4 linked regions of the Notamacropus eugenii genome follow. The protein of the gene in region 1 purifies or fractionates together with the protein of each later gene. This does not show direct contact. Links are inferred from orthologs where the notes say so. Each region holds a gene or a part of one and is shown in the gene's direction. Other genes may lie near its edges.

Region 1 (7,938 bases):
TTGTGTTACAGTTGAGGAAACTGAGGCAGGCAGCAGTTAAGCATCCCCTCATCTTCCCCTCTTACAGCTAGGAAATGTCTGGGTTTGGATTCAAATTTAGGTCTTCCTGACTCCAGGCTTGGCACCCCATCCACTGTCCCACCAGCTCCTTGGTCAGTGGGGTTCAGCAGAAGGATGAGCAGAGCTGCTTGATGATAAAATCAATGTGGGCTCTTGTCTGATCCATTTAATGCAGATAGGAAAGCTGTGGGGCCCAACTAGAGAGCCCAAGGGCCCACAGAGGCACAGAATCAGAGCAGGCAAGGACCCTTCGGCTTCCAGGCCAGCCCACACTGTAGTAGAGAGGAATCCCCATCCTGACCAGCAGACTTTGATACTGACCAGTGTTGGTGCCCTCCCCCCTCCACCTCACCCCTGAGAAGTCTTTTCCATGATGGGACAGTTATATCTCATTGTTGGGAAGCTTCTCCCCCACTGGGCTCAGTCTTATCCTCCAGAGACAAACTGGACAGTCTGCTTAGTTTTGAAGATAGCCCCACGTCCCTCAAATCTTCTCCTTCAACTGATCCTCCTTCCTCATCCTTCATTGGGACACTCTCCACTTAGCAATGAATGGCCTTGTAAGCCCAGAACTGACCAGAACACGCAGATGGGTCTTAGCAGGACAGAGGATGGGGCCTCCATATTCCTGGAAGAGATCTCTCTCTTTATTCAGCTTCTGGCTGCCATGTCACATTATCTCCCATCTCTCGGCCTCTTCTTCACTGTTTCCCATGCCCCATCTCCACCCCTACCTTCCCTAGCTTCCTTCAAAACTCAGATCAAATCCCACCTTGTTCAGGAAACCTTTCCAAGAGAAAAAGACAGAAACAGACAGACAGGGACAGACGGACAGAAGGACAGGAATTAGAAGCAATGGGATATTTTGAATTCTTTTGAAAACCTGTACTCTCCTTTTCCTGTTAATGTTATTACTGTAAGGGGATGACTAGAGAACACCCAGTTTAAAATTTCTAGTAGCAACCCCATCTGCAGAACACACACATCTGGTTCCTCATGTCTTGTCTCCCCCGTAAGACTGAATGGCTGGAGATGGCCCTCAGCTGTAACCTGGAGCCAGCCGGTCAAGGACAAATCCTCTTTGCAACAGTCGGCCCTTTGGACTTGCAAAGACAGCAATCATGCATCCTCTGACTCCAGCTCTGCTTTGGCTAGAAACTTTGAGGGTCTTCCTTCTCAGACTGAATTTTTGTTGTTGACTAGGTAAAGAGGTCATTCTTTGCTTTATTTCTTACCTTGCCTTAACCAGTGAATGGGCACTGCCTCAGTCAAACTGAGACTTGGGAAAGACCTCAGCTTCAAAAGGCATCCTGGGCTATCTCTGGTCGTTCTGATCTGCATCTCACTACTGGACGCAGGGGGCTCCGGAGGAGAAAATGAGGCCAGCGATTTTGCACAGCCCTGCCTCACTTCGATCCAATTTAGGTGCATATCCTGGAAGGACAAACAACTTCTGTGAGTGGAGAATAGGGTCCCCATTGGGGACCCAACTGGAACTGGCCAGTTGGGCAACACAGCTTTATTTCTTCTTCTTCCTCCCTCAGTCCCTCTCTCCCTCCCTCCTCTCCTCTCCTCTCCTCTCCTTCCTTCCTTCCTTCCTTCCTTCCTTCCTTCCTTCCTTCCTTCCTTCCTTCCTTCCTTCCTTCCTTCCCCTCTCTCTCTCTCTTTCTCTCTCTCTTTCTTTCCTCTCTATCCACATAGGGTATTATATTCTTATCTGTGGGTACTCTGCCCAAAGGAATGTAATATTTCATCCCTGAAAGCTTTTTTTCCCCTTAAACATCACTCCTCAAACCCAAATCACTTTGGTTCTCATTGACTGGCCAACAGGAGATTCCAGGTCAAGGCCTTGATTGACTCAGAGTGACTGTAGATAGCAATTGTTTCTGTTTTGGTCTGAAACCCTGATGGTCTTCCCTCCCTAGATTGATTTTTTTTTTAATTAAGTAAAGAGGATATTCTCTGCCTCATTTCTTACCCAGCCTTAATCATTGAATGGATGTTGCCCCAGTCAAACTGAGACCTGTCCAAGACCTTAGCTTAGGTCTAGCCAAAGTCCCCATTGCATCCCAGCCATCTCCAGTTGTCCTGATCTACATCTCACCAGTGGATTCAGATGGCTCTGGTGGAGAAAGTGAGGCTTGTGACTGCACAGCCCTCCCTTACTTCTATCCAATTCACTTGTGTGTCTTGGCATCACCTCCCTGACGTCAAGGTCCTCTTTGAGAACCAAGGACAGTCAACAACAGACTGACCTGCTTGAGAGATGGAAGTCTTTACTCATTTCTTTGGCTCTCCATCACTTAGCAAAGTGCTTGATCCACACAAAGCTCTTCATAAGTGTTTGCTGGATGGTTGGCATGGCAGCGTTGTTGGACATTGTTTGGGGCTGGAGGCCGATTCATCTTCCTGTCTGTGTGAGGGCTCGTCCTTGTCTCCTCATCTTTCCCCTAAGAAGAAGCTGAACCCCTTTATCAGATGCTGGACAAAGCTCTGGCCACCAGCTGCTTGCAGTGTGCCCCTTGATCTGGGGTCTTGTCGCCCTCTTCCCAGCACAGTTTCTGAGTGATGGCACCTCTGGCACTACCAGTGCTCCCACCTCCTCCTTTTCCAGATGCTTGTTTAATGGGCCCTAGAATTTTGCCAGAAAGCAGTCCTGTTCACAGGCCCCCAGGTTGCAGACTTCTCTGTTATGACTATGGGGGCACACACCCTTGGGCAACTCTGCTCCTGTTCTCTCTGACCACTCAAACATCCATTCAGACTGTGGCTCCTCAATCACTGGCCCATTCTTTTGGGACCTGGGCACATGTGTGTGTCCCTCGGTGCTCTCCTTAGCTTAGGGATCAACCGTCTACTAGCTTTTATCATTCCTTTATTTACAGGCGAAGGTCAGGCTCTTTGGGGGCTGGGGTGGGAGCTGAAGCAAAACCCAAGGTGAGCAGCTCTGTCTTTTATCTGGTCCAACCAGAGCAGAAGGGCTTATCTTTCCTTTGATTATGCCCTGCTTGGGCCAAGATTTGGACTTCTTGGGGCAACCCTGAGGGGCTAGGATTTTTAGTATTGTCATTCATGGGTCCCTACTAGTGTGCTTCCAAATAATTATCAACCAGTAGCTCAGTTGGCTTAGAGTAATGGTGTTTAATGAGGAGGGACGGTACAAAGGGTTGATACAAAAATTGTCCCAATCAGAAACATTCTTAACCAGCACACCCAGTGATGGGAGAGCATTGAGCCCAAAGGTAAGAAGGCACCAGTGTAGGGGAAGTGTGTCAAAGGATACCCTCACAGCTCTTGGGGAGCACAAGGCCTTCTCTCTCTGTCTCTCAGTCTTGTCTTCATGTAGTTGCTTCCTTATAGCTCTCTACTGGTCCCTGAGGGTCAATATTTTGGTACAATCCACCCTGAGGGGGGTTCTCACTACTTGAAGTTGCTTCTCTCTTGGTTGGCCATCTTTGTACATCTGCGTTTGTGTGTATTTGTCAAGATTTGCTTTCTGAGTCACCGGCTCTGTTCCAAGCTGAATTTGTGTGTCATGGTCATTGTGGGGTAGGGATTGGCATGCCCCTGCCATTTGCTGCGCTCTCATAGAGGTGTAGGGCTCTGCCACCTCAGGGCCCTGCAGAGCCTAGGGTCCTCCTCAGTGGATGCACTGCTGCGCAGGCCCTGGGAGTGTGTCTGAGTGGGTCAAGTTTAAGGTATCTGTGGGATATCATTCTGAGATGTGTAAGTGGCAGCTGGAGATGCAAGCTGGGACCTTAGGAGAGAGGTGAGGGCTGGATAAACGGATCTGGGAAACAACAGCACAGAGCTGATGGCTACATCCGTGGGATCTAACGGGAGCGCCAGGTCAAAGACTGAGCTTTCCTCCCTTTCCAGAGCCCCCAGCCCAGGACATTTCCAATTCCATCCCAGCAGCCCCTCCCACTTCCCAATGCAATGAGTTTTGCCTCCTATCTCCATTGTCTAGCAGCCTCCCCTGCTTCAGCGCCCTGGCTCAGGGATTTAGTTAGGACCGGAATAGAAATGGCTGCATCTCTCTGGCCCTTTCCGGTTTGCGGAACACTTTGGGGAAGAGAATTAGCGCCCCCGCCCCCGCCATTTTCCAGATGAGCGAATTGAAGCTCAAAGAGAGAAGTCCTGGGGAGCATGGGCAGAACTCTAACCCAGGGCCTCGACACTCCTGGGAGCTGGTGGTGAGAGAGACAGACAGGCAGAGAGACAGACAGGCAGAGAGACAGACAGACAGACAGACGGAGGGAGACAGGGAGGGAGGCCACAGGCCAGTGGACCCACCGGGCTTTTCGCTCGGAGCCCCCCAAGATGAGGGCTCGGGACCCGGGAGAGCGCGAGGAGCCCGGACCCGGGGAGCGCCCCCACCCACCCCGGAGGGCCCGGGGCTTCAGCGATCGGTGAAGCCGCCGGCTTTAGGCGGCCCTGGGCCTGGTTGGACAGCGCCGAGCCCGGCTCCTTCTCCTCCGGCCTCCATCGCCGGGCCCAGGGCTCAGCTGGGGAACCGACCGGGTGGTCCCGGGCCCGGCACGGATGCCAGGCTGTGCCCCCCTCCCCCGCCCTGCCCCCGCAGGCGGGATGCCCGGCCCAGGGGCGAGGGGGAGGGGCGCCCGAGAGCGGGGGGCGGGGCGGGGCCTGTCCCGGAGGGCGGGGCGGGGGCGGAGGAGGAGGGTGGCCACTGAGCGCGGAGCAGAGCCGAGCCAGAGCGGTGAGCTCAGCGAGCGCGGCGGCGGCGTCTGCGGAGGTGCGGGCGCTGCGCGAGGCCGAGCAGCCAGCCGGAGCCCCCCGAGCTCCTCCCAGAGCCCCCCGAGCCCCCCGAGCTCCTCCCAGAGCCCCCCGAGCCCCCGGAGCTCCCCCCGGAGCCCCCCCGGAGCCCCCCCCCGAGCCCCCGGAGCTCCTCCCAGAGCCCCCCCGACCCCCCGGAGCCCCCCCGAGCCCCTGGGCCCAGCGCCCCCTGAGCGCACAGCCCCGGCCCAGCCCCCGCCGCCGCCGCCATGGGGGTGGAAGGCTGCACCAAGTGCATCAAATACCTGCTGTTCGTCTTCAACTTCGTCTTCTGGGTGAGTGGGGGGCCGGCGATCGGGGGGCGGGGGCGGGCCTGGGCGTGGGGGGGTCCTGGCCTGCGGCCGCCGCGATGCGTGTGTGTATGCATGGTGTGTGTGTTGGTGTGGTGTGTGTGTGTCTGTCTGGTGTGTGTGTGTGTGTGTGTGTGTGTGCGTGCGTGGTGTGTGTGCGTGCCTGTCTGTCTGTCTGTCCGGTGTGTGTACGCGGTGTGCGTGGGCACGAACGTGGGGACTTGGGGGGCACAGACAATGGAGGCGCTTCCGAGGGCGCGGATGTTTTGCCAGGGCGATCGGCCCCAGGGAGGGGCGTCCCCAAGGACTGGGAGCGAGGGGAAGTTGTCCAACCACCTGCGAGCGCCTGTCCCTCGGTCCCTCGGTCCCTCGGTCCCTCAGTCGGTCCGTCCAGGCCTCAGTGGGGGCGGTCGGAGCCCGCAGCTGTTGCTGGGCAGCTCTCCCCGCAGGCGCTCTGGGGTGTGGGCACAGCCTCTCTCCGGCTCAGCCCCCTGTGACGCGGGGCGGGGCGCTGGGGGAGCCCTCGGCGTGGGCCTGTGAGTGGGGGCCACCTCGCTTGGGGCCTGGACCGGACTCCCCTCGGATAACGGCCTGGCAGGCCGGGGGGGAGTGGCTCTCGATCCCAGTGGAGCCCCACTCGGGAGATTCCATGACAACCTCGGCTCGGGCCTAGGCCCCACTCGGAGGGGCTGGAGCCAGGCTTGCTCACCCTCCCACGGAGGGGAGTGGACAAGTCCTGCATGAGGGGGACCCAGACCCTGCCAGCCCTGGCATGGGCACCTTCCCCTGGGTTGGCTGCTGTGGGAGCTCACCCAGAAGGCTCGAGATTCGCTTTCTCATGCAGAGGGCTGGGGAAGCTGGCCAGAACAGGCTCCTAGGGAATGTTTGCTGAAGCCACGAGGGAAGAGGGAAAGGGGCGTCTTTCACCCCCCCCCCCCAAAAACGTACATTTCCTCTAAGGTAGGCCAAGTTTCTGAGTGGTGACACCCAAGGCAGGTGACTAGGGGACAGGGCAACCTTTCAGACCCCTTTGGGTTCCAGCTCTGTTCTAAGGGTAAGCAAACAAGTTGGTCTGCCCTTCCTGGGCACGTGGGCCCCTTCCCTCCTGTGGCCCTGCCCCGCCTGCCAGAATCCTAGCTTTAGTGAGCTTGTGTGTTATGTGTAATCTTTGGGTCTTTCTCCAAGGGTGAAGGGCCCTGGGAGGAGCCTGGACTAGGACCACCGGTGGTGCTGGCTCCCCATTCTAGAGCTCCCCAAGGTGTGCAGAGCCCAGGTCCTGCCTGCTAAAGATTACCACCTGTAGTCCTTCGATTTTGTCAGTAAGGGCAATAAAATGAGATTAAGGCCTTGGTGCCCCTCCCCCTTCCCCTGTTTTCCCTTGGGCTCTCTGCCTCCCTCGGGGCTCTGTGTCTTCAGTTGCCGCCTGGGCTGGGGGCTCGAGCTTTCTCTCTCCCAGCCTTAGGTTTTGTGTTTTGTTTTCTGTTTTCCTGGCGTTAGGTTTTACTTTCTGTTGACCCCTGTTCCAGAGGTGGGGGAGGGGGTTTTGTTTCAGTTTCCTGTGCTCAGATTCTTGCTTAATTTTGGAGGGAGGGATGAGCAAGCTGGTGTGTGCGGGTCTCCCTTGTGCAGGCCTGTTCCCTTGCTCTCCTCAGATATCCCCGGGGGACTCTGGGCTCTTGCCCAGGGGGTCCCTTCCTTGGCAGGCAGCCCCCTCAGGTGGAGGGCTCTCAGCCTGATGCCCCCTTTCCCCTTTCATGGAAGGTAAGTGGTTTCCAAGTGGCAGCTTGGGTGGGGTACGTTGTCTGAGCTGAGCAGGGCAGCTAGCCGGTGCAGGTTTGGGGGTCTGGGATGGAGATGGGACTTGTGTGCCTGGAATTCCCCAGAGGGAGCCCTCTGGCCCCCAGGCACCTGGTCTCTAGCCCTGCTGCTGGACACCATGCTCAATAGGAGTGGCTGTCCTTTGGACAGCTCACCTGCTGCTGGCCTGGGAAGGGCAAATAGCAGAGCCCTTATTTGGTAGATGGGCACCCAGAAAGGCAGGAGCCAGGCTGGCCCATGGTGGCTCATGTCAGGAGAGCCAGAGTCTAGACCTGATGCTGGTGCTAACTGATTGTGACCAGGCATAGGCCCTGAGAACAAATGTGAACTTTGCCACTTCTCCCTGTGTGACCCCTCCCCGGTCTCAGTTTCCCCATCTGTAAGATGGACCAGATAATCTTAATTCCCTTCCACCTCTCAGTCTATGATCCCATGTCACTTCTCCCTCTTGAGGCTCAGTTTCTCACTGCCAAGTAGGGGGTGAACCCTACTTTGCTTCCCTCCTAGAGCTGGCCCTGGAGGGTCCAGTTTGGGGAAGGATTGGCACTTCCTGGACCCAAGAGGATGGCACAGAGAGGGTGGGGACCCTTTGAATGTTCTCAACCCTTTCTCACCCCCAACCTCTGAGGTACAACAGACAGAAGGTGACAGAGAACAGCCTTGAGGTTGGGAAATGTGTGTGTACCCAGTTGTTGGGACTTTCTGACCTAGGGAGCCCTGGAGTGCAGAAGAGGGTGCTGTGACCCAGGTTTGTCTTCTGTTCCCCCCGCCCCCAGTGCGTTGGTGGAGCTCTGAGGTTGGCTGGAAGAGGAGGGGGGAAGTGAGTGGTGAGCCTCAGGATGAGGTTTGTGGTCAGGATGCAGGGTCTTCATGATCAGACTGGGGCTCCCTGGGCTTCGGAGGGGTCACCTGCCACAGCGATAGGCTGTTAGGGCCAACCTCAGGAAGGGGCAGGTGGTTAACTGATAAACAA
Region 2 (7,701 bases), on another chromosome or scaffold:
ATGATTTCAAAGAAATTTGGGAAGACTTGCATGAATTGATTCAGAGTGAAATGAGAAGAACCCAGGAGAACTATTTATATAAAAACAATAATACTGTATAGACAAACAACTCTGAAAAATTTAGGAACCCTGATCAAAACAATAACTAATCACAGTTCCAGAGCAATCATGATGAAATACGCTACTTGCCTCCTGATAGAGAGGACTCGGCACAGACTGAGACCTATTTTGGGGGGACATGGCCAAGGAGAGAATTTGTTTTGCTTGACTGTACAAGTTTGTAAGAGGAGGTTTGGGGCTTTTTTGTTTGTTTGTTTTTTGCTGCCTTTTTAATCAGGAGTGAGGAGAAAGGTGGGAGAAAAGATAGATCTTCCTGAAAATAAAATTTAATGATTAAAAAAAAGACTTGGTGTTCCAGCCTTGTCTGCCACATGATAGCCATGTAACTTTGAGCAAATCACTTAACCTTTAATAACTTCAGTTTGTCCTTTATAAAGCGGGTATAATAATATTTGTACTACCTACTCCACAGTGCTATTGTAAGCATCAATCAGATTATGTATTAGTATCTTACAGTTCTAACACCATACTCAGCATTCCTCATCAAATATCTTGCGAATGCATTGGAGAACCCGAGTTAAAATCCATCCACCATTTCTGGACAAAAAATGCATAAAGGGTATGAACTACTGACCACGGGGCAGCAGAATTATTGTATGAAGCACAGCAGCATACATATACATGCCTGTCTGGGTTTCAGTAAATAAAGACATCTACTCACACAAACCAATATTTGCATAGAAAAGCAAATATAAATTCTCTTAGAGATCTCAACAGTTTTCAAGGACGCAAATAACTACCGAGTATAAATATCCAGTCTTAATCTCTCCCCTGAACTTCCTGCTAGATATCTTCTCTTGGATGTCCTGTATTTATCTCAGAATCAACAGGTCCGAAGTAGAATATATTTCACTCCTTCCCAAACCTATTACCCCTCCAAACTTCCTTCTTTCTGTTGAGGAAACATACTCTCAGTCACCCAAATTCTAACCACATAACCTTCTTTGATCCTTCCATCTCCTTCATATTCAGTCTATTGCCAAATCAGCTGCACCCTGTAGCCTTGCCTTTATACAAAGTTGTACTATATTTCTTCCTGTTAAAGACCTGAACTCCCTTCAAAGTTCTGATGAAGCGCTCCCCCCTCTGAGGCCTTTCCTGATCCTGTCTTCCTGCTCCCTGCTCTAGTGGGTGCTCTTCCCTCCAAAATTACTTTGTATATGCTTATCTGTCTACATAGTCTCCCACCCTACAGAAGGGAAACTCTTTTTTGTCAGATAACAAGGACCGTTTCTTCTTTGTCTTTGTATTCAGAGTGCCTAGAATTTAACAAGTGCCTATTGCTTCTAGCTACACAAAATCTCTTCTGTCGGTACCCTTCTCTCCACCTACAGACTCACTATTCTAATCTGGAACCTCATTACCTCTTCACTGGACTACTGCAATATCCTCCTAACTGGTCTCCAGGATTCTAGTGTCTCTTCCTTCAATCCATCCTAAACATAGCTGCTAAAATGATCTTAAAATACAACTGACCATGCCGCTCAAAAATCTCTAGTAGCTCCTCATTGCCTTAGAAGAAAATATAAATTCCTTAGTTTGGCATTTAAGACCCTCCACAATCTGATTTCCACCAACTTTTCTAGCTTTGCTTCTGTAACAGCAAGGACCCTGGCATACACAGGAGGATCTGCTGTATAAGTTCTTAGACCTGCTTTTCTAAAAGCAAAGCAACTTTTGAGGGGACAACAATCACTTTAATCAAGCACATGAATCATTCACTTAGTTCAGGGGGAAAAGTCAGCTCTCTGACCTTCAGAGAAAATACAAAGAAATAATAATCAGCAGGCAGGGCTTCCAACTGACAGACTGTAAGCAATACATACAACACAGATCAACAGAGAGATCCAACTGTCTGACCATACATACTTAGTTACTAGACAGAGAAGCACCAGCATCTGGGTTTTCAAAGCCGGGGGGCTCCTTAGAGGCTGCCCAGAGTCTTGTCTGGCCAAACACTTTCAATGAGTAAGCCCCAAAACAAAACCTCTCCTCAAAGTATTTATACATTTTTCAGAGCCAGAGGACAGCACCTTCTAACCCAGTGCCTCAATAGAAAGTAACAAAAGGGGTGGGCCTCCCCTAATCAAGCTTTCCTTAATGGGCAGGCCCATCAATCGCTGGGGAAGATCTTTAGCTCTCTAATTAACATTACAGCTTCATACTACTCCCCTTCAAGAAGTTTCTGTTCCTTGAATTCTCCAACTTTCTGGTACATTATTCATTCTTACCATGTTCTTCTCCATATCTGGTCTGTACATTTCTCAGTTTCCCTTCTCAGAATCGGTCTTCTTTCCTCCACAGCTCAGCTAAGGCGCCACCTCCCCCTTCATTATTGATTGTCTGATTGCCTTAGGTTGTTACAGTTTTCCTCCATGGTTTTCTTTGTCCTAGACTATTTATGTACATGTTGTATCTCCACAGCAGTCCCTTTAAGCCAAGGACTTTCACATATTTGTCTTTTGGTCCTCGACGTTATACATAGTAGGCACTAAAAATGGTTACTTGAATCAAAAGTACGTAAGTAGTTGAAGGGGCACCATATTTAGTAACATGCTGTTAATAGATCAATTGTAACATCCAGTTGAACACAATATATATACATACATACATATATTACATATATGTATATATATATGTATAGCACTAGATAATTGTTTTGCCAACATTAAGTGATATTTTACTCAACTCTGAAAGATGAAAATCTTTTAGGTTCTGAAACGTCACCTGACATTCAAGAAACAGTTACAGAGAAATTTAAATCAAATTGTCAAATAGCAACAATAACTAACCTGAGGCTGAACATAAGTACATAGTTTCCAATTTTTAATTGAACACCAATTAAATCAAACACTGTAGTTGAATATCACATGTCAGCTGAGCAAGAATACAAGTTTGTTTTTTTAACACGCCAAGCTAAAAGGTTTAATTCCAGTTTGATAATTGAATAAACCATAAGGTTTTCCTCTGCTGTTACAGGTGTTGCTAATTTTGTGTAACGATACAATCCTCTTCAAATCCAAGGATCTATGTTCTCTGTGGCTTTACCAGTAGGACATATATTTTCAAATGCCATTTATTCTCTTCTAATAATAACTGACATTTATAAAGTTAAGGCTTGCAAACCACTTTGTAACACATTATCTCATTGTTCCTCAAGAGAAGTCTCTCCATTTTTATGGGGGAAAAAACTGCTGCTTGGAAAGATCAAATGAATTTGCACCATTGGTACTTATTAGACCTAAGGTTTTAACCTATATCTTTTCTAATGCCAGGTGTAGAGCTACATCCATTTTACCAATGCTAATTTCAAGTAGAAAAAGTAATTCTCACCTCATGAGGGCAAAGAAGTAGATTTCACTCTACCAGTGTTAAGTAAAATTTTCATCTTTTGATGCATCTAAGCAAATACAGCTATATTTCCTTATAGGTTTGGTTCAAACTGGGTTGCCAAGCGTATTCCTGCCCTCCTCTTTCCATCAGAAATAAGATCTTTAAGCTTCAAGTCTACAGTTCAGGATGCCCTTCGCCCAAAGCCACAACTTTCCAAACAGCCAAATTTTCAGTGCCACAAGATGGTATGGTGCCCAGGCAGTAGGCTTTGAGTAACTAACTGGGTTTCTGTATGACCTGGGTATTCAGTTTCGAGTCCTTTTATCTAAAAAGCACCCTGCCTATGCAAAAACTCTCACAATGAGTACTATTTCTTCTCCTTTTTTTTTTTTTTTTTTTAATAAACCTGTTTTAAAATATTTCTTCGACCTGGGAGGGGAAAATTGGACCGGAGTGACAGGGATCCAAACCTCCTCTTTCCGGGGGGCCAATCAATCAACAAGTATTTATTAGGGCTTCCGTGGCGCAAAGAAGGGAAGCAGTGGCTGCTCCCAGAAGTGTCCATTCCGACGGGAGGGCGGAGGGGCGATACGGCACGAAAGCAGCTCAGTCCAGGCTGGCCTGGGAGGGGGCTGGGGGCGGCGGCGGCCTCCGGCCTCAGTTTCCCCACTCTGGCTGCGGAGGGGCCCGGAGGGGTCTCGGTCTAGCCCAGACCACAGCCTTTATTTTCCTCTCCAGTCTTTAGCTCCAGACCCTCGGCCCGGCTATCTCCCAATCCAGACGGTGACCCGGAGGCGAGGGAGGCTCGGCCTGGGCCTGGGGCCCGCCTGGGCCGGAGGGGGCGCCGCCGGCCCGGGCTGGGAAGGGCGGGCGTTGGGCACCCGCCGGAGCCCCTCTCGCGACGGGAGCCTGGCCGACTTTGACAGACAGGGAAACTGAGGCTGGGGGCCCGAGGCCGCGGGCCGCTCCCCGCAGGCCCTCCCGCCACTTCCTCGGTCCGCCCTCCCCCGTCGACTCCTCCTCGTCCTCTCCCTCAGCCGCCGGCGGAGCGGCTGACGCGGCCCGGGAGGAATGCGTTTCCGGAGGGAATGCGGGGCTGGGTCCGCGTGGGGAGGGGGGAGCGGAGGAGGCAGCGACGGGAAAGGGGACAGGAGAGAGGCGGGAGGACAATGCGGATTGGCTAGCTGGAGAAGGAGGGCGGTGGCCGGGGGGCGGGGCCCCGCGCCACCTTCCTGAAGGGGAGGAGGCCGAGGGAGTGACTCGCCCCTCCTCCCACCCCGGAGGAGGAGCTGGAGCCGGAGCCCGAGCCGCTGCCACCGCCTGCCCGCCCTCCGGGAGAGCCGGGAAAGTATCTCGGAGCGGCCGCGGCAGCGACAGAGCCAGGCCGGGCCCAGAGCACGCGGCCCGCCGCCCGAGCGTGCGCGCCCCACAGAGCCCCGCGCGGACGGCGGCGAGGTGAGCGGAAGCCCGTGGCGGGGGGCGGCGGGGCTCGGGGCGCGCGTGGCGGCCCGCACCGGACCCAGGGAGAGGCAGCCCCGGCCCGGCCCCGCTCTTTGTGTCGGGAGGGAGCGGGCGTCCGCCGTGGGGGTGGGGCCGCCGGGCCGCCTCCGCTTAAGGCAAGGAATTCTTGCCTCGGGGCCGGGAGGAGAGCCGGGGGTACGCCGGGTCCGGCTCGTCCTGCCCTCGGCGCCTCCGACTCGGCCTCCGCCCGCGCTCCCCTCCCCCGCTCCGGCCGCGGCCCTCCCCCACTTTGCTGCCGGCCCTTCCTCCGCCTTCCATCCTTGCAACCTTTTCTCCTCGAGCCCTCCCTTGAGCTCCCTCTTTGCCTTCACTTCTCCCCCTCTTTATCCCTCTTTCCCTTCACTTCTCCCCCTCTTTATCCCTCTTTCCCTTCACTTCTCCCCCACTTTATCCCTCTTTCCCTCTCTCTTTCCCCTCTATCTCTCTTTCCCTCTGTTTCTCCCCCTTGCCCGTGTCTTTTCCCCTCTCCCACCCGCCCCTCTTTCTCCCCGAGCGCCCCATCACCTCCCTGCCCTTTCTTCTTCCTCTTCCTCCCCTTCTGCTCCCCTTGGACCAGAGCCCTCCTGGGGCTTGGAGCCGCTCTGCCAGTGGCCCCGAGTGGACGGACGCACGGACGGACTTGTGCCCAGCTGGCTCTCCAGGCCGGCCGGGGTTGGGTGGCATTGGGTGGCATTGCGGCCTGTCACTTCTGGAGATGTTCTGTGGTCACCCCTGGGACTTGGGGCCAGGCTTAGGAGAGGCCGGCGCCCCGTGGACTTTGTGCGCGCTGGGTATGGACGTGAACTTGACTTTGGAGTTGAAGTAGCCCTAGACCTTCTTTCTGTATTTTCCATTGTCTCTTACTTTTATGATTTAAAAAGTCCTTCAGCCTAGAAAATACCAGTGTTGAGGTGGCGTTGTATTCCCCCTTAAGATTCCCGGTGCTGTATTTTTAATTTTTTTTTTTTTTTTACCATGGCCCCTAAGTGTGTGTGGGCATGGATGTAATGGGTACGGGACGAAACCTGAAGCGTAAAAAGTTGGTAGGTAAGGAACATGAATATAACCGAGAACTTTGGATATTTTCCCCAAATTCCTTAGGTTTTTATGCGTAAGAACACAAACTTTGCTGAACTACAGACAGTGAATATTTAAATGCATACCTTTGTCCCAATAATAGATCGCTATACTCAGGGTTTTCACAGTGCTCAGTTTTGTTTTGGTTCTGGGCTGTAACTTCATCAGCGTGGGGACACCCTCTATTGAAGCAGATCAGCAGCTTCTCTGAACTTACCATCTGAAGTGTTCTGTGGGCCTGTTAAGTGGCCTGCCTGCAATTGCTGGGCTTGAACAGCAGGTCTTCCTGAGGACAAGGCTGGCCCAGCCCTAGGGCTATATGTTCTGTGTTGTTTGGGAGTAGGGAAACGTACCTCTGCTACAGACTGGTTGTGTTACTTGGGCCACAATTGCTTCATCTATAAAATTAAATTGGACTATCTGATCTCTAAAGTTCCTTTTAGCTTTATGGTATACTATGATCTTATTTGTATACAACTTTTATCTCATCCCCCCAGATAGATTATAAATTCATTAAAATTGGAAACTGCTTATTGTATTCTCAGTGTGTAGTCTATTCATTTATTGTCATTGTATCACACTCAGAATTGGACACTAAAAAGTCACAAAATTTGGCACCTTTTTTTTTGACTTCCTAATCATGCTTAGGAACTTTTAGTGTATCAGTTTCTTTTAATATTAAAGTAATTCTAGCATAAATAGTGAAGTTTTCCTGAGTAAAATGTAGATACTGTATAAAATGTAATGCTTCATTTTGCAAACTGATTTTTGAGTGGGAGGGAATTACTGGGATTGTTAGTGTCTTTTGTGTTCCAAGACAAAGTGATATATTTCTAAGGGATTTTCAGTGTGACCTGGTCTCTGCAATATTTAATTATATTCCACAGAAACAGGAAGTATTAACCCTGACACTTGTAGGCACTGGGAATGCTCAAGGCAGTCCTCAGCTTTAAGAAGTTTGTCATCTACTGGGAAATGAAGGGTAAAATGAGATAGGATGTGCACAAAATGTAAGAACACAAAACTGGAAGGTATCTTAAAGATCAGGCAATCCAGGCTTATTTTATAAAAGGAAGAAGTTGAGAGCCAGAGAAGTTAAATGAGTTGCCCAAAGTCACATAGCTAGTTTATGGAAGAGATAGGTCTCCTGGTTCCTAGCTCAGCTTCTTAAGTCTTCAAAATTTTGGCCACTTAAATAATTTTAAAAGAACACTTAAGTGTGTGTTTAAAGTGTCAAGTTGACAAGTATGATTGTTATAAAAACATTTTTTACTGTGCTCTTAGGACATTTTTTAGGATCCTAATTAAGCTGATTTTTGTAAGATTTAAACATATAGAAATGTTTGGTTCTGTTGGAAAGTAAAGTGGTAGATAGAAAAGCAAAAAATAATTTTAATTTCACTTAGAAATGTAGAATACATTTGTTTGACTTATAAAAAACAATCACCAGGCTTGTTTCTATAGAAATATTAGTACTTTACAAAGATGAAAACAAGAGTTGTTTTTTTTCAGAATAGACCCTTTGGATTTCCCTTGCCATATTTTCCCTTAAAAAGTTTAGTACATTAGAAATAACATGAGAATTAACAACTATGAATAATCATTTTAATAATCAGGTAGATTTCTTCATTCCCTTCCCTTATAGTTAATCTTGGTCCTTAAAAATTACCA
Region 3 (7,334 bases), about 360 Mb from region 1:
CTGAGCCTGTGACTGTGTGCATATATTTGTCAGTGTATCTTCATTTGTTTTTGTATATCCTGGTGTATGTCTGTTATATCCTTGGGTATATCATCAGTGGGTGGGTGAGTGACACGTGACTCTGCCTCTGGGTACATGTGATGCTAAGATACCTCAGCCCCTGTGCAAAGAGTGTGCCCACAGCAAGCAGCAGATGGGGAGTGGGCGGCAAGTTGGTGATGAGCAGCGAACACAGAAACCAAAAGGGCTTCTGTAACTTCTGCATGCACTGCTGTGCCCAATACCCACTCCACCCCACCCCACACATCTGTGTCTGCATCTCAGTGACAGGCTCTGTGGCTAACCCATGCCATAGTCACCTAGAGTCTGGGTTGGCACTCGTCTAAGACTGCCTTCTGCTCATCCACCTCTGCAGGGTGTGGTCTTACCTCACTAAGGAGCACTAGTCCTGGGGCTGGGTGCTGGATGCTAGATGCTTGGGGCTATTCCCAGACCCTGTCTTATAGAATCATGGGGTTATTGCTGGAAAGGACGTTAGAGATCATCCAGTCAAGCTCCCCTCCCCCCCCCTTTTTTTAAACAGGAGACACCCATGACTAGGGAGATTATAACTTGCCCAAAGGTATGCAAAGGTAGCCTGGTCAGGATTCAAACTTGTGACTTTTGATCCCAAATACAAGTCTTTTTCTACTACCCCTCCTTGCTTTCCAAGGTGTCTCTGGGTTTCTAATATTTCTATGAAGTTGTTAAGTGTGACATTACAGTGTGCATACTGTGTGTTCCATCTGTATGTGTAATGGATTTCCTGACACAGGGTGTGTATCTCTGTGTGTAAGAGACATATGGTCACGGTGTGTAAGCTCACATGTTCCCTCCTTGTCTCCCCTGCCTCCCAGTCCTGTTTTTCTTAAGTTATATAAGTGTCTGATGGGCTGTGCCAGGACTGAACTATGGGCGCCCCCTGCTGATAGCCTTTAGAACTCACAAACTGGGGATAGAGGGGAGTGTATGCACCTTTCTTTGAGGGACCCAAAACAGACTCTCTGTTCAGTCCCTAGCTCCTCCCCACTCCCAGCCCATGCCTCTGCCCCTAAGCCATGAGTCTCAGGGTTGAATATTTGGCTTTTTGAAGAGAAGAGAAGGAGTCAGGGGAGAAATGAGGATAAGTCCTCCCTCCACTAAAAGGGGTGGGGGGGAGGCAGATCACAACCTATTCCTGGTTTGTTTTTTTTTTTTTTTGCTATTCTCGTTCATGTCTTTCCATTAATCCTACATAGAGGGGTCCACTCAACATAACAGAGACCTTCCATGGTGGGGGGGCAGCGGGGTGAACTAGACTGATGATTCTACTGGCATAGAGAACTCTGTTGTTGGAACTGCCATTACCCATGCAGATTGCTTTGCAAAACAGCACAAGAATTCTTAACTTGAAGGGGTGGGGGGGGAAGCATGTTCTGCAAACTTGCTTTAAAAAATAGTCTGATGAGAGTATTTTTTTAACATTCATTTAAAAAAATTTTTGAATACCAAATTCTCTCCTTCCCTCTAGCCCCTGCCTCATCCATTGAGAAGGCATATGATACCCATTATACATGTGAAGTCATGCAGAACGTATTTCTATATTAGCCATGCTACAGGGACAACAAAGCAAGAAAAATAAAGTGAAAAACAATAAGCTTTAATCTGTACTCAGATTCTCTCTCTGGAAGTATATAGCATTTTTCACCATGAGTCCTTTGGAATTGTCTTGGATCACTGTACTGATCAGGGCAGCTAAGCCATAGTTATCACTGTTACTGATGACTGTATTTCAGTATAATTGGTTTCCTCTGACTTTTATTTTACGTGTTTAAAAACCTCATTCACGGTGTCTGGCACATAATACATACTTGTTGGCTTGACTTGAGAAGGGGCTCATAGGCTTCATCAGACTACCATTAAAAAGATCTTAAAAAGTTGTCTGGGACCACTGAGAGGTTGTGACTTGCTCAGAATCACAAAGCCTACATGCGTCAGAGGTAGGCCATAAAGCCAGGTCTTACTAATATAGGACTGGTTCTCCATCCATCACATGATGCTGTCTCTGGTTCTTTTTTAGTATTATTTCAAGTCAGTGCAGAGCTTGATCATTTGATCTGTCATCTCTCATTCTCGCTAAATGGTAAGCCTACCTTTTTTTGTGGTCCTAATTCAATTCAATTAAACAGGTGTGTCTGAAGGGCCTACTATAATAAGCTAGGCATTGTGCTAGGTGCAGGAGGTACAAAGATAAAAAAGAAATAATCCCTATTCTTAAGAAGCTAACATTCTACTGGGGGGAGGGGAAATAGCATGTACATAGATAAGTAAATACGAACTATTTTTCCCCCAGAGGATAAGAGGGCTCTAACAACTGAGAAGATCAGAAAGAAAAAAAACCAAACAAACATTTGGGTAAGAGTTGAGTCTGGAAGAGAGCTAGATATTCCAAGAGGTGGAAGTAAGATGGAAACGCATACCAGTCGTGGGGTACAGACAGCCTAGGCAAAGGCATGGAGGTGGAAAAGGGAATGCTGTGTACGGAAACCTCAAGTAGGCCAGGTTGTTTGAAATATCCTGTAAAAGAGAGTCCCTGGTACCGTTTATCATGCTACTTTCTCATTAAAAAGTCATTATTGGTAATGTGTTATAGCCTACACACTTTTACAGACGATGTCCCTTTCCACTGACCTTTGAAGTCACCATTTTGGCTTTTCTAAGATGGTGTTTCATGAGTCACCATCACTAACTCAATTTAATTCAACATTCGATATACTATTTATTATTGAGAATATTGAATTAAAAAAAAAGATGGGTCTTTACAGCAGAACGCAGCTTTGAATCCTTAAAAGTGCTGCATTCATTTCTCAAATTGTATGCCAGAATGTTAGTAAAAATGAGAACTCTGCTCTTTCTGCCCCTCAACCCTGACTGGGTCCTGGAGGTGCTCGCAGGAGAAAAGGACTGGAGGGGATAGATAAGGAAGTTTTCTTTCCCTGCTCTGAGTTCTCAAGCTCCTTCTCAAAGGCCCTCTGTTCTCAACCACTCATACCTTTCTCAAAGAGACACAGAGATGAAATTCTCCCTTTACTTGGCTTCCTCCTTGTTCCTACGACCAGCCTCCTCTTACAGACAGAGTCCTGCCTTTTTTTGTCTGCAAGATTCCTGCAGCTCCAGAACCTTAGAGCAGGAGTGGACTGCCTATGTGCTAACGATAAGCTAATGATAAGGGGCCAGGCTATTATCTGTGAGGAGAAACAAGGAACCAATGAATTTATTGATCTTTTACCAGGTGCCAAGTACAAAAACAAAAACAGTTCCTATCCTAGAGGAGATTACACTCTAAAGAAGGTGACGAAATGTACACACCAGTATATTCAGAATGCATGCAAAAGGAATACAAGGTAGTTTGGGGAGAAGAAGCCTAATGGCTGGGGACAGGATTGGGGGATCAGACCAGAAAAGGTTTCATGCAGAAGGGGGCACTTGAGACTAGTCTTGAAGGAAACCAGGGATTCCACAATACTGAATCTGGAGTCAGAAGACATCAGTTTGAATTCTATCTCTGCTCCTGATGAAGTAGGTGCCCTTGAACAAATCACTGCCCAGCTCTGAGCCTCAGTTTCCTTGTCAGCAAAATGAGGGGTTGAATTAGAGGATGTCTACCTCAGATCCCTCTTTTCAACCTCTAAATCTTGTGGTTCTGTGAATCACAAGTGCCAGACAGGAAGGAACCGAGGTAGATCCTCTCACCCAGCCCAGGCCTGCAGGCAGCACCCTTCTCGCCCCACCCCGGGTCTGGTCTCAGCTCTTCCACGTAGACGAAATTCCTCCTGTTGCATAAGTTTCCTCTCTCTTTTTCTAGCAGCAATGGAGACCAAAAGCAGCGAGCTTTCATTCTTCCACGAAGCTCTGAGTGTGCTCTCACCCTTCTTTCTGAGCCTACCCATTCACTTGTCCCAGCCCTCCCCCCAGGTACTCCCAGCCAGCTGGGAAGGCCCCAAGGCCCAGAAGGAAGCAGCCCCCCCCAAACCCTCGCTGACGTCACTTGCTCCTGGCTTCTTTCTCCCCCTCAAGGGGTACGCCCCTCTCCTGAAGTTGGGGGGCCAGCGAGGCCCTTGGGGCAAGCTGGAGGGGACTGGGGAGAGAGGCAGCGCCAGGGGACGAGGCACTGGGAATCAGAACGGGAGACAAGTGCCAACCATTGGCCCCCGGAGAAGGGGAGGGGAAGAGGCTGGGCAGAGGCGGGGCCTGGGCGGAGTCCTGCCCAGCGGAGGGGCCAGCCTGGCCCAGAAGCGCCAGGGGAGGGAGGGGGAAGGCGGGCGGGGAGGAGGCAGAGGAAGCAGGGGACGCGGCCGCCCGGGCTTGGTGCGCCTCTCTCGTCCAGCCGGGCATGCGCCCCCCGAGCCCTTGGCCCCCCAGAGCCCGAGCGCCCCCCGGATTCTGCGGCGCGCAGCATGGGAGCCCCCGGGCGCACTCCGTGGCTGCCGCCGCTGCTGCTACTGCTTGGTAAGGAAGCGGAGCCGCGGATCGCCCCGTGCCTTTCCTGCCCTCCGTCCCGCCCGCCCGGCTCGCCCCCTCCCGCCTGAGCCTTGCCCCTTCCCCTGCGCCTGTTTGGCGCAGCAACCTTGGCGGGGACCAGGGCATCCTCTGCCCCGCCGGGGCGCCGGGGCTGGGAGTTTCGTTTCAGCCCCGCACTGACCGCCCCCGGGGCTCCGCCACCCCCGGCCCGCAGGACTGTGCCCAGCTGGCGTCTGTGGCCTCCGGCTGAGCCGATTAGGAAGAGGGGCAGGGGGAGGGAAAGGGGCTTCCCAGCTCCAGGCTCCTCCTCTCCAGCTGTTTGGGGGAGGACGGGGCGAGGAGCTGCTGAAGGGGCTAGCTACCCCACTGAACTCGAACGCCATGGCCAATCTCTGGGGTGCCATACCACCCCGGGTGCGTTTCTCTGTACCAGCATAGCTAGACCCTAGGAGTACTGCAGCTTTCTGTGCCTGGCCTAGGCGTGGGCAGTGCCCGCCCTCGTAATTGCCTCAGAGCTGGTAGGAGGCCAAGGGGCTGACTCTGCCCAAAATCTTTGAAGTCTCCCCTAATTGCCCCCTTGACTTCACTAGAAGATTGTTTCCTCAGGGGCAGTGACCCCTCTTGACCCTACCCCCCCCCCCCCCCGTTTTTGGTCAACTCTGGGTTCCTTCTCTGTTCCTTTACTGTGTCCTAGCTTTCCAGATCCCTCTCAGCTTGGTGCTCCTTTCCAGCCCATTCTGCCCTCCTCCTCCTCTAACCCAAGGCTTCTACTTTCTCCGAATTTTCATCAGGCTCTTAACCCCTTTTCTAGCCAGCTGTCTCATCTCCCTTCCCTCCTCCCCCAGTGTCCACACTATTATAGGTTTCTTACCCATATTTCCCTTCCTGGACCATTTGTCCCCTCCATTAGCTGTTGCAGTTAAGTGGCTAGGCTATAGGCAGTTATGGGGACTTTCTTTTATCACAAAGCCTTGCTCTAATCTACCCCATCCTCCAGTCTTACCAAGTGTGGGGCTCAGAATATATTGGCAAAGACAGATGTGGGAAGTCAGTCTCTGATAACATCAGCTGATCTCTTTGGAGTCTTTAATCCTAAAATCTCTAAGCACCATTTGCCCCTGGCATTGCTGTGTGTAGGGGAACTACCCAGTGCAGACAGGAAATTTAGGCCTTGTGCCTTCCTATGCCCAAAAAAGGTGTCGTGGGAACATGTGCAATTTATGATGTCAGTCAATAACTAGTTAAGGTTTGTTTGACCTGCGCATGAGGGCTTCCTGGAGAAGATAGGGAGTTGGGGGAAGTAAGACAGTGGAAGGATTGAATTGTATTCTAAACGTAGAAAACTGATGCCCCATTTCATTCTCCAGTATTTATTTTAATATTTGAGTCTGAATTGGTAGAGTGTCAGTAATAATTGTCCTAGTCACCTATTTTTAGGCCAGAGATTTGCTAATGCTTCATGATGTCCCCAAACTCCCCAGCTCACTGAGTGGACTCCTGGGTCATGATGGTTGGAAGAAGATGTCTTTTTTCTCCCCACCTGTCCCTGGGGCTGGGCAGCTGGAGAAGTAGGGACCCACGGGAAATGGTTGCTTAGCACATAGCCTGCTTTTCTCGATAGGCAGTATGATGTTCAGGCAGGAATCCTAAGGGTTTTTTGGGGGAAGGGGGAGGATGGGTGTAGGAGGAAGGAGGAAGTAGGTTGGGATAAACCTTGTAGTGGTCAATTCCAAAGATGAGGGTTGCTTTCCCATGGGGATCATGGAGCATCAACTTGCAGGTGTAGGAGTCTGGGAGTGGGGAGAACCGCTCTTATAAACCGAAGGCCAGACCTGATACAGTTGGGTAACTTGGTAGTGGTTTGGTCTCTTTATTGTCTCCCTGGTTATGAAACCTTCTAGAGGCTGGGCCCTTCTGACTCACAGACTCATAAAATTCTAGAACCAAAAGGAACTTGAGAAATAATCTCACATAAATTTTATATTCTACAGATGAGGAAATTGAGTCCTAGAGTGGTGGGATGACTTGCCCATATATATGGACCATTAATGTTAAGTTGAAATGGAATGGAAACAGTGGTATAAAAGTGGAAAGAGAATTATGCTTTACTAGCCTTGGGCAAATTACTTAAATTCTCTAAGCCTACAAAATAAGAATGATAATACTTATACAAACTCCTCCCAGTGGGCAGTTGTAAGTATGCAATGAGAAAACGCATGTAGACTGATTAAATTGTAAAGGCCTAGATGATATTATTGCACACTATCAATTGGTCAAAAAGCATCTATTCACCATTTACTATGTGCCTGGCACTGATGCATTGTACCCTGAGTCCCACATCTAATCCTCCCCCTATTCTTTTGACCCTTAGGTGATCAAGTCAGGAAGAAGCAGCCGTGAATTTTAGAGAATGTTAGAGATGGTTAGGGGAAATTGAGAATCAAAGATTCCCAGTTCTCCTCATTACTTCTTGGTCCCTGTTAGAAAGTGGTGAATAGGAAGTGGCCTCAGAATTCCAGGCTGAAGGGTTCTGGAACACTAGATGATTGAGGCTGTAAGAACCCACGTTTTTCTGGTGGGAGGAGGAGTCAGGCCATGACAGTTCGACCTGAGATTTCATCTGGCGCTAGTGTTTCCCTCCAACCCTAATCCCCAGGGACACTCCCATGGGAACCTGGGAAGGTAAAGATAACTAGAGAAATATTGGAGAGTGAGGCAGCCCTGGAACTGAAGGCACCGTGGGAGAAATAAGGAGAGGGAACAGACCTCCAGCAAAGCTCAACAAGGAATGTCTT
Region 4 (7,455 bases), about 270 Mb from region 1:
CATTATTCCTATTTTACAGATAAGGAAACTAAAAGAAGATAGGGATAGAGTAACTTGTCCAGGGTCACACCCCTAGTAAGTACATGAGACCAGTTTTGAACACAAGTCTTCTTAACTCCAAATCCAGGGATATAACCACTATACCACCTAACTAATATCTAATTCTATGACTGAATAAATGGTGAGGAAAAGAAAGAACCTGGTCATAGAATACTTTGAAAACACTTTTTCTCTTTTTTATTATTGTGAATTTGACAACCCTCCACAAACAATCACTTTCATATACAAAGAATAACAAAAGAGGATTGTATACAGAAACTGTAAATCTCTAATACATGCAGTTCAGGTTTTTTTAAAAGATATATAATATATTTAACACAGCAGTTCCAAGTGGTTCTGCTTATCTGTCTTTTTCCGAGCTTTCTTTTGTTCTCACCTCAATATTTTTTAAACTTTTCATTGATACTCTTTTTTTCTTTTTGTGGCACCATGATTACTTCCTCTAGTCCCCAGTAATTCTCCCTTCTTTCCACCCCAAAGTAAAAGTATGACCCCTTCTACATCTCTAGTCTATCACCTCTCTGTCAGGAGTTAGGAAGCATGATTCACTATGGCCAATGATGAATCATGCTTCCATGATGGCTACTTTTTCAAGGCAATCAGTGAAAGGAGAGAGCTGAGTTAGTACCTTGATGGAGTAGAAGGACTGAGAAAAGACTTTTGAAAATGTAGGATTGCATAGACCTGAGGATGATATTTGTAGGAAGACTGGAAGAATTCAATGGAAAAGGAATGATTAAAAATTCAGAAAAGAGAGGCAATGACTGAAGAATGGAGTTTTTTATTTTTTAACTATTAAGTAAGCTTTGCTTTCATTGAAGGCATCCTTAAACTTCAGCAAACAAAACATTTGAATTTCCACGTGATTTTATTTCACAAGATTTTCAGGGATAACACTTTCCTATATTGATACCTATAATCTGGGTACAGTCAATCCTAAAAGAGAGGCGTTTCTGAGTATCCCTTCAAATGCCTCTATGATGAGTAACAACAGCTGGCAGGGAGAGGCCTTCCATTACAGTACTGAGCAGGAAGAATCTTTTTTGGGAGGTGGTGGTTGGGGGGGAGGGAACAATTCTGTCAGTTGGGATTGCTAAAGTAGTCTTCCTGCCCTGGGCAGGCCTTTGAATCAATGAGATGCAATAAAAAAGACTACTGAATAGGGTCTTACTTAAGCTAGTAAAAGATTGATTATCCTGCACAAAGAAGGAATAAACAAATACCCAATTCATGAATTAGCAAGTTGCTCTTTCCTGCTGGGAACATTGGCCATAGCTCTCTTCAATCAGTGATATATTTTATACTGCAGTGGTTAGGGTCCAGCAAAAGGTGTGGCAGATGTGGCTAACTAGAGGCACTTCTTTCCGGTTTATATGAAGTTATAAAAACCAGGCTGCCTTTGATATGCAAGGATCATTCTACAGACCTACAATAAGTAGGACTTTCAGTTCTATTCAAGCCAGTAAATATTTCATATGATGGTAGATTTAGATTTGGAAGGAATCTCAGACATCAGATAATACAGGGTTCTTAATGTGTGTGTGTGTGTGTGTGTGTGTGTGTGTGTGTGTATGTGTGTGTGTGAGACAGACAGACAGAGAGAGAGAGAGGGAGGGAGGGAGGGAGAGAGATGAACATTTTTGGCAGACTGAAGGAAACTATAAGCCCCTTCTCAGATGTTTCATAAGTGCACAAAATAAAATACATAGGCTTACTATCAATTTATATTGGCACTTGTTCAGTTGTACCTGGCTCTTTGTGACTCCATTTGGGGTTTTCTTGGCAAAGATACTAGAATGATTTGCCATTTCCTTCTCCAGTTCATTTTTTTTACAGATGAGTAAACTGAGACCAAAAGGGTAAAGGGACTTGCCCAGGGTCACACAGCTAGTGCATGTCTTTGACCAGATTTGAACTCATCAAGATGAGGCTTCCTGACTGCAGGCTCAGCACTATTCACTGTGTCTCCTAGCTGCCCATATTGAAACACAGTTATCAGAAATAAATATATATTTTTTTAATTTCACAAACCCCAGGTGAAGAACCACTAACCAACCCCTTCCTTTTACAGATGAAGAAACCGAAGCTTACAGGGATCAATGATTTGCTCAGGGTCACCTTGCTAACAATTGTCTGAGGCAGGTTTTGAATACAGGTCCTCTTACCTCCAAGTTCAACACATTATCCATTGTCCTGCACAGTGTTTCTTGATCTTCCCTCCTCGAATCCTAGATAGTTTTGTTTTCTTTTACCTCTCTGCTAACCTAATCATGAATTATTATAGAACTTGTGTGTGTCTTATTCCTCTGCCAGACTGCAAGGTGTCTTATCTAAAAATTGTCAACTCTAGCTAGTGATGTGTTCCTCACATAGTTGGTACTTAGTGAATGATGGCTGAAATTGAATACCTACTATGTGTCCAGAATTATGACTACATTGTTGCAGATCCAAAACAAGTTTATGCCATGAACAAAATTTTATTCAGCAAACATTTAATAACAGAAACAAGATATTTCTTACCCTCAAGTAACTTGCTTTTTCCTTTATACAAAAATCTCCACCCAAAAGAAACTTAAAATCTGATTGGAGTAGCGGAGGGGAATCACAGAAATTAGTCAAGAAGAGTTTCCAGAAGGGGAGGAGAAATACTCCAGAACATCATTTAGATTTGATGACTGGTGCAAGAAAATGTATGTATAATAAAACGCTAAACTGAATTAATCAAGGGACAAAATGAAAAGGGCATAAGTGATCAAAGAAGGGAGAAAAAGGTTACCTGAAATTACCCAGAAGGCTTAGCTGAGGAGGTGGGATTTGAGGTGGTCCTTAAAGGGGGTGGAGGAGGACGATTTGAATGAGTTTTGAATTATCTTTTTCAGCAGCAGTAATGAACTTGTATTAAACCTGCCATGCTTATAACTGTGCCATAAACAAGAACTTAGGGATGATGCTAGACTTGGCTCATCACAACCTTTCTTTGACTTTTTCTTAGTCAGTCAGTCAACAAGTATTTACATGTTAGGCACCCTTCGGAGAGCTGGGATATAAAAGAAAAAAAGGCAAAAACAGCCCCAGTCCACAAGGAATTCATTTGAATCAGGGCAAAACCATGCTAACAACTCCATACAAGTGAGACATACATGACACATCCACAAGATCAATTAAAGGTAATTTCAGAAAGAAGGAATACTGTGATTTTTTTCCCTACTGTATTAATGAGACACTGGGTTGAGTGGGCTCAGGCAATTTCCTTGATTCCATATGTTTGACTCATTTATGAATTATTCAGACAATGAAGACTAATACCCCACCCCTTCCCAAGTACTGGGCTTTTATAGCATTCATGGAAAAAAACGCTGACCTAGAAGTCAAAAAGATATGTTCCAGTGCACTGTCCCTCTTTTCTTGACACTAACCTATTATGTTACCTTAGACAAATTGTTGAATTTCTCTGGGCCTCAATTTCCTTATCTGTAAAATAAGTAATCTAATGGAAACCTTTCCAGACCTTCCTAAGATTTAATGTTCTACCATCAGAGGTCATTCTGTAGAATGGAATGTTCCTGGAGGCAGGGACTATTTATTATTTCTGTCTTTGTATTTCCATGGCCTAGTACTGGGTTTTGCTCTTAGCAGGTGCTTAATGAATAAAAACTTGTTCGATAGAATCAGAAAATGTAGAAGAAAACCTACCCTAGCCAACCCAGAAGGTTCAATGACATAATGATTATAAAAGTACTATACAAAACTACAGTATCATTACTGGAAAGAAAAACAATACTCTTGGTTACTTTGTTGCATCCTCGTGTGTAAGCTGTATAGACACCTTCAGTCATCAATGTAAGACTCAGAGAGGATCAAACATAAGGCACTGTAGTGATATTAACGTTTCTGTATTTTCATTAGAGGTTGGGAAGGGAGCTGCCCGTCAGAGCAGTGTCCTTACTTTATCTTTCCAGAGAAAAGAGGGAAAGTGGAGGACTCTGGAATGGAGTCCTGCTGGAAGCTCCCATCAGGCGTGGCCCGGATTTAGCGAACGGAGTGGATTTGTGGAAAGTTAAGTTGTGGATTTTCTGTGTGTGTGTGTGGGGGTGACTTTTGGGGAACAGATGCGGAATTTCGCAAGAAGGGAAAGAGTTGCGCTTTGATTTGGGGGAGATTCCTGGGGAGTTATTTGTTCCTAGAAAAATCTTGGGCATTTCCCAACTTTTAAAGGTCGGAGGAGGTTTGGCACGGGGGCGCGAGGGTGGGGGTCTGGAAGTTCTCCTCCCCTTTAAGCGGGCAGCACCCAGAGATCCCCAGAGTGCCGCGCTTCCTCCCCGTTACCTGAAGTGGGGAGGGGCTTGGGAAAGTTTGTGTTTGTTGCTGGCAAAGCGCCGGATGGGAGGCGCGGGCGGGCTGGCTGGCAGGCGCTGCGGTTCTTTCGTTTTGCTTTCGGGAAGCGGTCGGGGCTGCACACTGTAGCCGCGGCCAGCCCTAGCGCCCGGCTCCCCGCCTGCTGCCAAAGAAAAGGAAGGAAGGAAGGGAGGAAGAGGTGAAAGAGGGAGAGGGAGAGGGAAGGTTACACGGCTGCTCTTGCGCGCGAATCGAAGAGGCTCGGTCCGGGCAGCCTTCGGCGCGAGCAGGCGCAGGAGTGGAGTCGGCGCGGGGCGGGCGCGCCGCCCCCTTCCCCCGGGTGCAGGAGCGCTGACTCTGGAGCTGCGGGAGCAGGAGGCAGAGCCGAGGCGAGGCGAGGCGAGGCGGAGGAGAAAGGGAAGGGGAGTTCCTCCCGCGCGGCCGGCCAGCATGGGCCACTCGGGGGAGAGGCCGCTGCTGCTGGCGCTCCTGACCCTTGGTGAGTCCGGGCTGGGGGCCCGGGCCGAATTGGGGGGAGAGGGGCGTGATGCCAGGAGCGGGAGGGCTGCCAGCCGGGGGCCCCGCCACGGTGGGAGGGGAGCGGAGAGGATGGGCGGACTGAGGGGGTGTCCCTCCCCCCCAGCGTGCGGCCTGGGCCACTCCAAGGCTCCGGGCCCCCGACCCCCGCCCCTGCCCGGCTCCTGGGACAGCCTCGGGCTGGGGGCCCTAGAGAAGCCGAGCAGAGCCTGGCCGGGCTTTGGGGCTCCCGCCCACTTAACCGGCGTTTTGTCCGGCGCTTGACCGCCCGGATCCGAGGGAGCCTTTTGGTTGGGGGCGGGGAGGGCAGTAATAGCTAGCCGTTCGTGCTGCGGTAGTCCCCTTTCCCCCAGCCCAGCCAGGCTTGGAATCCACCCGATGCCCAGCCAGAAGGCCAAGCCTTCCCGTGCCCAGACCCAGATCCAGGGCTCGACCGTGGGGGGAGTGGCGGCTGCCTGCCTGGGCTGCTCCAGCTCTACCTGTTGGCAGGAGGGGGAGCCAGGAGGAGGCTTCCTTCACCTTGAACGCCTCGGCCAGGAGGCTGGCTGCCCGCCCGGCTGCCCAAGAGCCCCGGTTCCCTACTCCAAAACGGAAATGTCCCCCGTTAATCTGCTTGTGCTGCAGACTCAGTAACCTTCAGCTCCCCCTCTCCCAAACCCCCGAACAACCGTGCACCACGGCACAAAGCCTGGGTTTTCTTTCGGGAAAGGGCCACCGTACAAACTTTCCCTTTTAAAGGTGACTGATCGGGGTGTGCCGGAGCTACGGCTTTACAATCTTAGTGCACTTTCTCCTTGCTTTGTTCAAGTGCTGGGTGACTGGATCTTCTGCCTGAGGCTTTCCTCAACTTTTACTTGTTACTGGAGCAGCTGCTACCTCTCTAAGAGAAAAAGCCCGAGGCCACTAGTTTCTCAACTATTTACCAACAACCCTGCCCGGGCCCCCCTCCCCGCCCCCCATGCCCTTCTGCCCTCTATCGTTTCTACCCGAATCCTTCCATCTCCATAGTCTGGTCTTCAAACTCTTGCAGTTTCTTTCTCTGATTTGCATACATCATAGGCATGGACACATGGGCATGGGTTACTGCCAAAGTCTGAGCCTGTCAGATGCTTGGGGACTTCTGGACGTAAGTCACCGAGCATTTATTATGGGCTTCCCGTGTACAAGGTCACTTTGCTAAACGCTAGGGATACAAACAAAGGCAAAAATCATGGAAAACTAGGCTTGTGCACTGATGATTGGACATCTGCCTTCTCGGCTGAGTTTGGGAAAGAGTATTAGATTTGGAATCTCAAAACCGAGGTTGAAATGCTGTATTTTCTAACCCTCAGGCAAGTCAGTACCCTTTTCCCGACCTCATTTACCTATCTGTAAAATGAAGGAGTTGGACTTTTTAAGATCTTTAAGGTCCTTTCCAGCTTTAAAACCTCTGGTCCCATGTACAGGGCCAACCCAGAGCTGTTCAGTCATCCCCAGTGACTTTCTCTGTGGATGGGACTTGGACCAACCTAGCCCCAGATGCATCCTTGCTGTAGGGCTTCTGGGCAGCTTAAAAGCCAGAGATTCCCTGTGGATTCCCCTCCTGACTCACAGAGCCTGTTGTTAACTCCCACCACCAAAGCTGAGTGTGTGTCTCTCCTTTAGCCGCCCCTCCCTTCTCACTAGCTCAGGCCTGGTGCCAAAATGAGGTTAAAATGAGAGGGTGAGAGGGGTAAGATGGAAGCTGCAGCTCAGTTTTCCCCTCTTTCACATCTGTTTGAGCCTTCTAACGCCTTCCTTGAGGGAATTCATCCAATCACATGGTTTCAGTTACCACCTATATGTAGAACACCTCCAGATTGCCCCCTCTCACTTTCATCTCACCTCTCTCTTCCAAACCTCTATTGCATTAGAAACCTCAATCAACTCCCTTGATCCAGTTGAAAGTTTATTGCCTACTATGTGCTCGTTGTTTCCAATATAGCAATGTTGAATCCTTGCCCTCAGAAAACTGGTATTCCCTTGGGGATAGAGGTGTGGGGTGTATACAATACATAGGAATTATACATAGGAAACAAAGGAAAAGAAAATAATTTCAAGAAAGATTGCCAATGATTGGGGTGACTGAGAAAAGCCTCATGTACCTGAGGCACTTTTTGAAGGAAGTTGGGGTGCGCATGGAAGCCACATGAACAAAGATACAGTAAGAGGCAGGAGATGGAATGTCATTTCAAGGGAACACCAAAGGGACTCCTTTGGAGTATAGTATGTGAGGGTAGTAATATGAAATAAAACTGGAAAGGTAGGTAGGAGTCAGTTTGGGAAGAGCTTTGAAAGCTAGAGTCAGTGGAGAGCCATGGAAGATTTTTGAGTAGGGGAGTGACATAATGACCTTAGGTAGCCTTGTGGAGGGTGGATTAAAGGAGGGGAGACTAGAAGCAGGAAGACTCATTGAGAAACTGTTACTATGGAGGGTACCATCATCATCCCAGTCACATAGGCTCCCAGACTAGGCGTTATCCTCAATCTTGCCCTCCCTCACTG

What was found.
Region 2: the proteins of CD81 (region 1) and ITGB1 purify together in Homo sapiens (affinity purification with western blotting; 4 studies listed by BioGRID and IntAct, with this or other methods). This does not show direct contact. The link is inferred for Notamacropus eugenii from reciprocal best matches to the Homo sapiens genes CD81 and ITGB1.
Region 3: the proteins of CD81 (region 1) and IGSF8 purify together in Homo sapiens (co-immunoprecipitation; 3 studies listed by BioGRID and IntAct, with this or other methods). This does not show direct contact. The link is inferred for Notamacropus eugenii from reciprocal best matches to the Homo sapiens genes CD81 and IGSF8.
Region 4: the proteins of CD81 (region 1) and PTGFRN purify together in Homo sapiens (co-immunoprecipitation; 7 studies listed by BioGRID and IntAct, with this or other methods). This does not show direct contact. The link is inferred for Notamacropus eugenii from reciprocal best matches to the Homo sapiens genes CD81 and PTGFRN.

What each region holds. Positions count from the first base shown.
Region 1 is NC_092873.1:25,498,929-25,506,866, reverse strand, and holds the start of CD81 (CD81 antigen), read left to right. Parts: upstream 1-4,936; 5' UTR 4,937-5,066; coding exon 5,067-5,132; intron 5,133-7,938. UniProt on the Homo sapiens protein: Structural component of specialized membrane microdomains known as tetraspanin-enriched microdomains (TERMs), which act as platforms for receptor clustering and signaling.
Region 2 is NC_092874.1:72,861,032-72,868,732, reverse strand, and holds the start of ITGB1 (integrin beta-1), read left to right. Parts: upstream 1-4,700; 5' UTR 4,701-4,908; intron 4,909-7,701.
Region 3 is NC_092873.1:385,034,997-385,042,330, reverse strand, and holds the start of IGSF8 (immunoglobulin superfamily member 8), read left to right. Parts: upstream 1-4,329; 5' UTR 4,330-4,475; coding exon 4,476-4,527; intron 4,528-7,334. UniProt on the Homo sapiens protein: Member of the immunoglobulin superfamily (IgSF) that links tetraspanin-enriched microdomains to the actin cytoskeleton and plays several important roles in innate and adaptive immunity.
Region 4 is NC_092873.1:296,754,665-296,762,119, forward strand, and holds the start of PTGFRN (prostaglandin F2 receptor negative regulator), read left to right. Parts: upstream 1-4,437; 5' UTR 4,438-4,845; coding exon 4,846-4,894; intron 4,895-7,455. UniProt on the Homo sapiens protein: Inhibits the binding of prostaglandin F2-alpha (PGF2-alpha) to its specific FP receptor, by decreasing the receptor number rather than the affinity constant. Functional coupling with the prostaglandin F2-alpha receptor seems to occur.